Linked DNA regions of Sus scrofa. The protein of the gene in region 1 binds, or shares a complex with, the protein of each later gene. Links are inferred from orthologs where the notes say so. Each region holds a gene or a part of one and is shown on either strand. Other genes may lie near its edges.

Region 1 (6,177 bases):
ACAAGAACACCCATTTCCTTCCCTTTTAACTAATTGTTGTCTGCAAAAATTATTATTTTCATTGCTTCATGTTTCCTTTAATATAATGTCAACCCTAACTAAAACTCCTCAGCCACAATCATCTTAAAAACATCAGAACTGTTAAAACACAGACATATACTAGAAATACACCTTTAATCTTGTTACCAAGCTGATTAATAGTAAAAGATACTGTTGGATATCCGAATTTTGAAAACTATAATGTTATAAGTTTTAATTTTACACTAAACTACATATGATGACATAATTCAAAATGTTTTCATGGTTTAATCCATAAAGGGTACTTCTACAAAAGCCTTGCAAATCCAAAAACTGGTAAAATTCTTGGTTTAATTATTTTTCAATTGCCCTATTCTCCCCCCCACAATTAAAGTGCATGACATATGTAATGTCTAGGCTAAGATGGTCAAAGAGCTGAATTTTGGAACTGCCCAGGACTGGACACCAGCATAATGTTGTTATGTATTTAATCCTCTTATTAATAACTACGATTCATAATAATTTAAGCTTTAAATAATATTCAACCTTACATCTGCTTGTAATAGAGCTCAGTTATTATTTGTGGCAAGAATTTTTGTGACTGTACTGCTCAGCACTTCTATTTACATCAGCAGTGCTAAATGCCCAATGGTGAGAGGGGAGCCAATCAGATGGCAGATTAGATGTCAACTCAGAGGCAGCTGTCTGGAGACTATTACAGCCAGTTTACCTCCACAATTCAAATTCCAAACCTTGCAAAGGAGATCAAGTCAGTCTTCAGGCTCAGCCTACGAGCAAGAAACAGCAAGAGTGCAGGACACCTCCTAACAACGCTGCAGCTCTTGGGTGTCAGGAAATTTAAAATCCAAATAAATCCTATCCAAAAAGATCAATTTTCACTGGTCCGCTATTTCCCTGGATTCGCTGGATAAAATGTATGCCGAATCCACGATCAAAATAAGTTCAATCTAGCCGGAATGTGTTCCTTCAACACAGTCTATCTGTTGAAGGTGACTCCTTTCGAGCAGCCTGCAAGCCAAAAAATGGACTTCCCGGCTATTCTTAGGAATGAATCGATTTATTTTAGGATATTTTACCTCCACATCGCTGTAAACGTGGGTATTATTTTTGCTACTACACAAACTCAAAGCCCGCATCCGATATCTCCGAATGGCTGGGCACAACTACGAAACACACTCGGCTGCCACAAAGCTAACCTATTTTTCCTGCCTTCACCTAATAAGCTAAGAGGGAACGTAGTGTGGCCGGAGGTAGGACAAAGTTCCTCATTCTTTTCCCAGTTCTAGCTCATTGTTGGCGCTAACCGAGAAGAGGGGGTCAATCTTCCTTCCCCGACCGTACCGGCCGGGAGCGCCTATTTTGTTGAAAAAGCTGCCCGAACGGTCCCCGGCGCCCACACGGCTTCCCGGCGGCGCGGTCCCCGACTCCCGCACGCGCGGCTCGGCGCCTGGGGTGGGGTGGCCGGGCGGGTGCTGCGCGACCGGCAACCGCGGCGCCCGTCCCGGGCCTCGGCCAGACCCCCTCCCCAGGCCCCGGGCCCCGCGCCGCGCAGTCGGACCCCGCGCGCTGCCCGGCCTCGGAAGGAGGCAGCCGCGAGTTAAAATGGCTTTGGGCGTCTCGCCCCCGCCTCCCCCGACAGAAGACGCAGAAAAAGTACGCGGAAAGAAAGAAACTAGGGCTCGCGGCGCGCCGCGAGGCCGCCGCGGCGGAAGCAGGCCCGACCGGCGCGGGGGTTACCTGGGATCTGCCCATGGTCGGGCCGGGGGTGCCGGGGCTCATCGCCGGGTGGCTCCTTTGTTGCGCGGCCGCCCAGGCCGGGCTGGCAGCGGCGTACTGGGCGCCCATGTCCTTGCCCAAGCCCATGCCCGCGGCCGCCTGCTGGCCGCCCGCCGCCGCCCCCGCCGCCGCCGCCTGGGACTGGGGCTGCGACGGCGGCGGCGGCGGCGGCGGCGCGCTGGGGCTGCTGTAGTCGGGGTAGCTGCCGCCGTAGCTCCTCATCATGGGGCTGGGCGAGGTGAGCAGCTGGTTGAGGGTCGGGGTGGCCCCCGACGGGTGCTGGTTCTGCCCGGCGAAGCGCTGGAAGCCCCCCGCCGCCGCGCCGGCGGCCGCCTTGCTGAGGCTCGCGGCCCCGCCGCCCCCGGGGCCCATCATCATGCCGCCGCCCTGCTGCCGGGGGGAGCTCAGCACCCCGTACCCCGAGGACGAGCCCCCATAGCCGCCGCCGCCGCCTCCTGCTGCTGCTGCCGCCGCCGCGGCCGCCGCCGCCACAGCTCCCGCTCCTGCTCCTCCTCCTCCTCCTCCTCCTCCGCTGCCTCCTCCTCCTCCTCCTCCTCCTCCTCCTCCTCCTCCTCCGCCACCGCCGCCGCCGCCGCCGCCGCCCGCGCTGGGCCGGCTGTAGCCCGGATAATGGTTGTACTGGCTGTTGGGGTACCCTTCGTGGGAGTTCTGCAGGGGGTCCATGCTGTTGGGGGCTCCGGCGGTGGCTGAGGCGGAGTGCATCATCCCCATCCCGGGGCTTTGTTGTCCGCCATGTTGATCAAAGCAAGGCCCAGCGCGGCCGCCGGGGCCGCCGCTAGCAGGGGCAGCGCTGCCATAGTAATTATTAAACTCCGAGACGGCCGCCGGGCCGCCGCCACTGCTGCCGCCCCCGGGCACAGCGACCGGCGGCGGCTGCGCGCCCAGGGCGCCCAGGCCCGGCTGCTCGTAGCGGCCGCCTGCCGGCTCCCCCATCTTGGGCGGCGCGTCGTCCTCGTCGCCCGGCTTGCTCAGCAGAGGCTGGCCCGGGGGGTCGGCCTGGCTGCCCGCGGCACTGTCCTTGGCGCCTCCATGTTGCGGCTGCTCCATGTCGGGACCGGGCTGAGCCGTGCCGCCGCCCGCGCCGCTGAGGCTGTTGTTGTTGGAAATGGGATGTTGCTGCTGCTGCTGCTGTTGCTGCTGCTGCTGCTGGAACTGGTTTAGCTGCTGCTGTAGTGCGTGGTGGTGGTGGTGGAGGTGGTGGGCATGGTGGTGGTGGTGGTGGGCATGGTGGTGGTGGTGGTGCTGCTGGTGGGGCGGTGCGGCGGGGGCTTCGCCAACGGTTTTCAGTTTGTGGTTGGGGAGCAGCCCCGTCTCCATGGCCGAGCCCGGGCCCAACGAGGAGGAAGAGGAGGACGCCGCCGCGGAGGAGGAGGAGGACAGCGCGGCGGCGCTTCCACCCTCCTTCAGAGCCGCCTCGGAGCCGCCGCTCTTGGCGCTGTTAGTGCTGGCGGCGGCGGCCGCCGCGCTCGCGTTATGGGCCATGTTCAGTTCGTGACGGGGGTGCAGGGGGTGGTGGTGCACATTATTCAGGCCGCCGCCGTCGCCGCCGCCCCCCAGCATGGGTCCCGGTGCCGCCGCCGCCGCCGCCGCGCCGCGCGCCCCCGCCTCCAGGTCCCGGGCCCCGAGCGCCGGCCGCGGCCCGGGGGGCGCCCGCCGCTCGCCGCTGCCCGCCCGCGCCCGCGCCGCCGCTGCTGCCCGCGCGGCCATGATCGCCGCGGCGTGGCGAGGCCGGGCGGGGGGCGGGGGGAGACAATAAAACCCACTTTTTAGTCTGCGGCCCCTCCTGTGCGCATCCACACGCCCCGACGGGAATCGAGCGAGCCCCCTCCCCCTCCACAGGCCCCGCCGGAGCCGAACCGGGAGTCACGCCTTACGGTCTGGGCCTGTTCCCGCTGTGTGATTTCATGGTGAAAGTTTTTAGTTCAGGTTTAAATGAAACTTTTCTCTTTTCCTCTCTAACCCGGATATGGGTAAATACACGACTCACTGAGCCTATCGGGCCCAGCATGGCATGAGAGGGAGCCGAGCGAGCCCGAGCAACTATTATCCACTTCTCTCTGATTACTCGTGCGCACTCGCAAAACGCGGACTGGACTCGGCCCGGGCCGCCGCCGCCCGCGGCGCCCTCCGCCCGCCTGCCCGCCCGGGCGCAGCCTCGCGGGCACCGGCGGCCCCGGGCCGGGGGCTCGGGCCGCTCGGCCGGCGCCGGGCGCGCGGCGGCGTGGGGCGACGGGAGGCTGCACTTTCCCCTCGTGCCTCCGTCTCCTTGCCAACCGGGCGTTCGCGTGTTTGTTTTCACGTCTAAAAGGAACGATTCAAAGGTGGAAAACGAGTCTGACGAGCAGACAAAAGAGGGAGAAGGGCTGGGGAACAAAGTTGTCTGTTGGCCTCAAAGGTTACGAGGAGCCGACGGAGAAAGAAGATATTTGGGCAATCTGTGCAAAAGCACTGCCTCTCCCAAGAGTTATGTAATTTTTCAGCATGTTAGCCTCTCTGCCTTGATTTCGGGCCGTCAATGTAATTCCCACAACTTCTTTAAACTGCATAATTAGGAAAGAGTTTAAGTGAAGGTTAGCCGCATTCCAGAAGCGCTGTGCCCTGTACACAGCAGGTACTCAATAAATGCTTAGGTTGATTGCACCTGCCCCAAAAATAACGTTGATATAACTTTTTTTAAGGCATCTTATATGTGTACGTAGGCTTATCAATGAAAACATAAAGTAATCCCAAAGGAGCATTTTTCCTTCCCATGCACTTGTCTGTCCTCGCTCTGAAGAGAAAGTCTTCAAATACGTAGCGTGGTGCGTTATGCTCCCAGCAACTTGCACGTGGAAATTTAACTCCTGGTGCCATAATAGCGACTGCAAAGGTTTATCTCATGTCTTCATAAATCTGTATGACATCATACCTGCATCGTATTTCAGAGGTTATGTGCACAATTAACCCTCTTGATATGAGTTCATTTCTAAGCAATGTGAGACAAAACTAAAAAAAAGTAACATGTTATTTAATAAACATAAAATCAATGATGATATAAATCCATCAAATCTAATCCTAGAGCTAAAAGGGTTCATGCTTTGTTCTTTTAATATTAGCTATTGTTTTATCACTTTATGATGTTTTAAATTTTTTTATTGTGAATTTCTCACCTAGTAACATCCTGAATATCTTCAAAAGCAGGACTTCTTAACCTAAACAATGGCTCAGTTGTATTAGTGTGGACTCAGTTTTCATGGAGAGAAAGCATTTGAAAGCAGAGCTTTCAAGAGGTCATGCTAGCTGAAATAACATATATGATTTTGGTAGAATGTAGTTTTCCAAAATCACCTCATTCTTAAGCTTTCCATAAAGACTATTTTAGTTTATTTCAACCACAGGGGTTATTTTTGTTTGCTTGAGGAAGTATTAATATGTTACATGACTAAATAGAAAAGGATAGATGTGAAAAACTGGTGACTAATTGGGGGGAGGGGACTCAGGTGCACACCCAAGGGTCATTATAGAGTGTAAAACAACAAATTGCAATTCTCTGCAAACAACTGGAAAACAGGAGTTATAGCATCATGTATAAGAGAGAATAACAGAACTGTAAGGTGAATTCATGCCAAATAATTCATCAATTTTTGCCAAGAGAATACTACATCTTTGTTAGTGTGCCTCTTTGACATTTTCTCCCAGATTTTCTCCCTTTATATTTTCATATACATACCAATTATACAATTACACCACATAAGTTGAATTTTTAAAGTTTTCATATGCAAGTAGAAATACGTTTTGTGTATATGTGTACATACAAATATTCTAAAATCAATTACATATTTATGCTTTGTGACATTCATAGTCATGCTAAATACATACATATAATCACAAAAGTGCATTTTTTTTCAAACTGATAAAGCATATCAAAGTCAGTCGTATGAGTGTAGTCATATTTTGTGGCTTATTTTCACAAATAATCCTAAAAGGGGAAAATGAGTCACCCAAGTTCAGCTCTGGCCCTTAAAATTTTTCTTCATAGAGAAAAATCATGAAACCTAAACAGAAAATGAGGTATATATATCGAACGCTCTTTTAATTCCATTTGCTTCAGCAAGTCAACTAGAAGATTGGAACCAAGAGCCTATGAAATAGAGGCCCTCAGCACAATGAAATCAGTCTGCTATAAAAGGCGACACATGCCAGTTTCTCCTCCCCAATGGCAGATGCCACACCCTAAAGCAGACAGAAGGCACTGCAGTCTGTAAGAGAAGCACAACACAAAGCCGGCAGGACTTGGTTTTGTCTCTTAAACCACAGAGAATGCTAACATACCTTTTTAAGAGTGTCTTGCTGAAGATAAGT
Region 2 (5,299 bases), on another chromosome or scaffold:
AGGCAAGGAAGATGGCATGGTGGTGGTCGCCGGCAGGTTAGGATGTAGAGGGTTCGCCATGGACACAGGCAGGTTAGGTGGGGGGAGAGTGGCCGGGGCGAACGGGAGATGGTGGTGATGCCCATGCAGGTTAGGAGGAGGGGGGAGGTTAATACTGATGGAGTCGGCTAGGCTACCAAACGGGATGATGGATGGAGCAGGGGGGGGAGGCGGCATGCCAAAAGGCAAACCCAAAGGAGCATTACCCGCCACGCCTGGGTGCCCGCTGCCTGGCACTGCCCCTGGCATCATTGAGGGAGGAGTTTGTTGGTTGGGAAACGGTGAGGGGCCTGGGAATGAAGAGGAGAGATAGGGAATATTAGAGGCATATAATCTTACTTGGAAACTCACTTCCCCAGCATGCATAACCAAGCCACTCCTAGGAACCACCTCCCTGTTTTTTTTTGTTTGTTTGTTTTTTAAACTAGAATAAGTAGTAAATCCTTGGGATAAAATTCCAAGGATCTGGTTTGGGGAAGGATCCCTGCTGACTCAGGGACAGAAGTGAGATGGATCTGTAGAAACTGAGGCTGATCCTTGACTCCAGTCCTATCACAACCCCTTCGAACGGAACTGAACACTCAGCCAGACCACTCCAAGTTGGAGTGAGTTCCTACAACCCATCACTTACCATGGGGTCCAGGGGGGGGTACCCCTGGTGGGACTGCCCCAGGCTGGGGGGCTCCAGCTGGTTGTTGCTGCTGTGGCCCCACAGCTGACCCTGCCGGCCCAATCTGTTCAGAGGGGCCCAAGCTTCCGGGAGGGGCCCCGCTGCCGGCAGGAGCAGGGGCCACAGAAGCCGGAGCCATAGCCAAGCCATGGACAGTCGGTGGCCCTGCAGCGCCTGTAGGTGGGATAGGCTGGGAGCCTGGGGGCAGGGCCGGTGGTGGCTGCTGCTGCTGTTGGTGCATTTGCTGGAAGTGCTGCTGCCGGGCCCGCATCTCTGCATACTTTAGCTGCTCCATGTGGAAGGCTTGTCTGTCGGCCAGGAGCTGCTGCCTCTGATACTCGAGCTGCCGGGGGCCACATGAGTATTGTTACGCAGGTTTACACGATCCCAAAGGCAAACCCCTTGCCCCCTGCTTTGTCTTCGGACAAACCTGCATGCCCATTCCGACAGGTGCCCACACCAAATCTCAGTCTTGTGTTTGGCTTCCTCTGTCCTCCCCCAGCCTACCCCCTCAAATCTCCCCGCCAGGTCCCTGGCTGCCCACCTCACTGCAGTGGGGTTAGTTTGGTGGTAACTCTTGTTCTTTTCAGCTCCAAAGCTTTGAATCTGTCATTACTTTAATTTGGAAAATGCTTCTACTAGTTCCTCTTGTCAATTCATGTTCTTTCCTTCCTTCAAAACTGGAGGAAGGCTCATCATCCTTAGGAAGCCTTCCCAGATCAGCTCAATAGCCTCTGCCCTCTTGGCTTTTATTCTGTTCTGTCTCAGGATTTGTGTGTGTGTGTGCTTTTTAGAGCTGCATCCACAGCATATGGAGGTTCCCAGGCTAGGGGTCGAATCAGAGCTGCAGGTATCGGCCTACACCACAGCCACAGCAACACCAGATCCGAGCCACATCTGTGACCTACACCACAGCTCATGGCAACGCCGGATCCTTAACCCACTGAGTGAGACCAGGGATTGAACCTGCATCCTCATGGTTACTAGTCAGCTTGTTTCCACTGAGCCACAATGGGAACTCCTCTCAGGATTTTTATACTTGATCAGAAATCTCTTAACTTGCATCTGTGAGCTATGTTGAGCATTAATTGTTTTCAATGTCTCCATATTGTACACTTGATGCCTCTAACTAAGGAGATCAGTGTCAGAGACACTGTCTTCTATTTCTTTTATATTTTCTCAAAATCAACACTTTATCCTTCCCATTTCCTTTCCAAGTTCACCTCCTGGATCTGGAGCCCTTACCCTCTCATGATGCCTTAAACCTGTTCACTCAACAAATCTTTACGGACCGTCTACTATTGGCCAAGCACCGTTCAAAAACCTGGAGACACAGCAATCAAAGAACCGACTAGAACCTGGCCCCAGAGCTGACACTGGGGACTTGGGCTCCAGGCTGTACCTGTGGGTCACCTGTCCTTAACCACCTGGGCTACTCTGCTCTGCTGTGAAGCCCTGTCAGCCTCAGGCTCTCTGCACTGCTGCTCCCTCCATCCTAAACAGAGGGCCAGCTCAGCATCAAGGTGGGACCCTGGGCTCCTCGGACTCCGCTGGGGACACAACTCACCGCTTCTCGCTCCCGGTCCATGATCGTCTCTAGCTCCTCAAAGTGCCGGAGTTTGATCTCCAACTTCTTCATCTGGGTTTCCACCAGCAGGGCCACCAGGGATTTGATCTTCCTCTCCTCAACGGCAGCCAAGTGCTAAGAAAGGAGGGGTGGGCCAGCGGTCAGCAGGAGGACCCAGCTGAAGACGCTCCAGGCAGAGAAGGGTCGTGCGGAAGCGGGCAGGTTTTAAGAAAGAACTTGCTGTGGTCACAGCGCAGAGAGTAACGTGGGCTTGACTGATAAGTAGAGGGTAGGGACAGGCCCAATAGCAGAGGCTTAAAAAAGCTTAGAGAAGGAAGTGCCCATGGGGCACAGCAGGTTAAGGACCCAGTGTTGCTGCAGCTCTGGCACCGGCTGCAACTGTGGTGCAGGTTCAATCCCTGGCCTGTGGACTTCCACACGCTGGGTGTGGCGATTAAAAAAAAAGCTTAGATACAGATGGCCAACAAACACATGAAAAAATGCTCAACATCGCTGGTTATAAGAGAAATGCAAATCAAAACTACCATGAGATATCACCTCACACCAGTCAGAATGGCCATCATTAATAAATCCACAAATAACAAGTGCTGGAGGGGTTGTGGAGAGAAGGGAACCCTCCTGCACTGTTGGTGGGAATGTAAACTGGTACAGCCACTATGGAGAACAGTTTGGAGATACCTTAGAAATCTATACATAGAACTTCCATATGACCCCACAATCCCACTCTTGGGCATCTATCCGGACAAAACTCTACTTAAAAGAGACACGTGCACCCGCATGTTCATTGCAGCACTATTCACAATAGCCAAGACATGGAAACAACCCAAATGTCCATCGACAGATGATTGGATTCGGAAGATGTGGTATATATACACAATGGAATACTACTCAGCCATAAAAAAGAATGACATAATGCCATTTGCAGCAACATGGATGGAGCTAGAGAATCTCATACTGAGTGAAATGAGTCAGAAAGACAAAGACAAATACCATATGATATCACTTATAACTGGAATCTAATATCCAGCACAAATGAACATCTCCTCAGAAAAGAAAATCATGGACTTGGAAAAGAGACTTGTGGCTGCCTGATGGGAGGGGGAGGGAGTGGGAAGGATCTGGAGCTTGGGCTTATCAGACACAACTTAGAATAGATTTACAAGGAGATCCTGCTGAATAGCATTGAGAACTTTGTCTAGATACTCATATTGCAACAGAAGAAAGGGTGGGGGAAAAATGTAATTGTAATGTATACATGTAAGGATAACCTGACCCCCTTGCTGTACAGTGGGAAAATAAAAAAAAAAAAAAAAAAAAAAAAAAAAAAGCTTAGAGAAGAGATGACCGAGTCTCCCTCCCTCGACCAAAAGGCAAAGAAAACAGGTCAGCACTGTTTAAAGGATGACAAGGAGGGATTTCTTGCAGGTGATGTGAGATCAGAAAAGGGGCATCTCCTTCCTTGGTCCCAGGGCCTCACCTTGGCCTTCACGGCGGCAGCGGCCAGGGCGGCAGCAGCAGCGGTGGAGAGGTTGCCCTCGCCGATGTCCCGCTCCACCTTTGTCTTCCTTTCCCCCTCCGATTCCACCTCCTTCAGCACTTCCTCCTGTCCTTCCTTGGGCTCCTTCTCCTTCTCAGGATCAACTGGGCCAGGAAAAGGGGGGGTCAGTCCTACAGCCTCGCTCCATTCCTGGACCCCAACCACCACGCTGGAGGCTCACCAATCGGGTCCCCATCACTCTTCTCTGACTCCTTCTCGCTGTCACCTTCTTTCCCTTTCTCGTCATCCTTCTTGGGCACCTCGCTGGTCTTCTCCTTTGCTTCTTCCTCCACAGCCCCAACTCCTTCTCGGGGTTCCTGGAGCCCCAGGGAAAGGAAAGGGGAGACTATTAGGGAGACTGGTTTGCATACGGAGGGCCCAGACCAGGACCTGAGCTTATGCCCCTCACAAGGAAGGCGACCTGGCTTCAGGATGCAGCCCCATCCAAACCCGGCCCTGCCAGAGCTGGATGGAGCCGGCACCCTGACCACAGCTCCTACCTGGCCCCCTCCACCCTCCCGGCCCCGTCAGTCCCGCTATACCTTGGGCTCCTTCTTCTCCTCTGTGGCCTGGCCCTCTGCCCGTGCCTCGTCAGTCCCGCTCTCCTCTGGGCCCAGGGGAAGAGGAAATGGGAAATGTCTGACAGTCTGTCTACCATGCTCTTCCAACAGCCCCTTCTCCTAGCCAAGACCTTAATGACAGGACCGGGGGGAGCCACGGTGCCTAAGGGAAATCGCTGGGGAAAATAAACCCCCACCAATCCTCCCCATGCATCTTGTGCTCCGAGGCCCGAGGATGGCAGGGATGGTGTGGGGAGGCAGGTGGCTCTGTCTCCTGGCAAAAATGGAGTCTGGGACCTGGCCAGGCCTCACCTATCCGCTCTGGCTCATCCGAGGTGGTTCCTGCAATGCCGCTGCTTTCCAAGCCAAAGGCTGGGTCGGCCTTGCCTGTCACTTTGGCTGCTTCTTCTACTTTCCGAACGTGGGCCTCCACCAAGGCCGTGGGTACCTCTTCCTTCATTTTGGAGAACTCTTCTGCAAGACCCAGAGAGGATGAGGCTGGGAGCGGGCAGGTGGGCAGTTCTGGCTCTCCCAGTGAGAGCTTCTTCACAAGCCCGGCACATCACCTAAACCTGCAGGGAGCTGGACGGGCGCCAGGACTGAGGCCAGCAGCAGACAAGGCCAGGAAGGCAGCCAAACTTGAGGGAGAGAGTTTTATGACCTGCGTACCCAGCCCTTCAAACGCAAACGACAAGGGGCTGGAGCCCCCCTGCATTACCTAGGGCTGACTTGGCCGCAGCAGAGGCCACTCGAGGATCGACGACAGAGGCCAGGAAGGCAACGGTGCTCATCACAGGGTTGCCTGACTGGCTGAAGGGGATGGGCTGGTAGGCCAGGGGGCCCAGGGAGGCCTCAGAGTCCTCCAGGTAAGGGTCTTCAATGGGAAGCCGAAGAAAATGCAAGAT

What was found.
Region 2: ARID1B (region 1) and SMARCC2 share a complex: the UniProt entries of both Homo sapiens proteins name them as parts of the neuron-specific chromatin remodeling complex. The link is inferred for Sus scrofa from reciprocal best matches to the Homo sapiens genes ARID1B and SMARCC2.

What each region holds. Positions count from the first base shown.
Region 1 is NC_010443.5:10,223,960-10,230,136, forward strand, and holds the start of ARID1B (AT-rich interactive domain-containing protein 1B), read right to left. Parts: upstream 3,422-6,177; 5' UTR 3,397-3,421; coding exon 1,777-3,396; intron 1-1,776. UniProt on the Homo sapiens protein: Involved in transcriptional activation and repression of select genes by chromatin remodeling (alteration of DNA-nucleosome topology).
Region 2 is NC_010447.5:21,565,464-21,570,762, forward strand, and holds part of SMARCC2 (SWI/SNF complex subunit SMARCC2), read right to left. Parts: coding exon 5,113-5,299; intron 4,869-5,112; coding exon 4,707-4,868; intron 4,442-4,706; coding exon 4,377-4,441; intron 4,152-4,376; coding exon 4,016-4,151; intron 3,939-4,015; coding exon 3,775-3,938; intron 2,412-3,774; coding exon 2,277-2,411; intron 1,053-2,276; coding exon 671-1,052; intron 330-670; coding exon 1-329. UniProt on the Homo sapiens protein: Involved in transcriptional activation and repression of select genes by chromatin remodeling (alteration of DNA-nucleosome topology).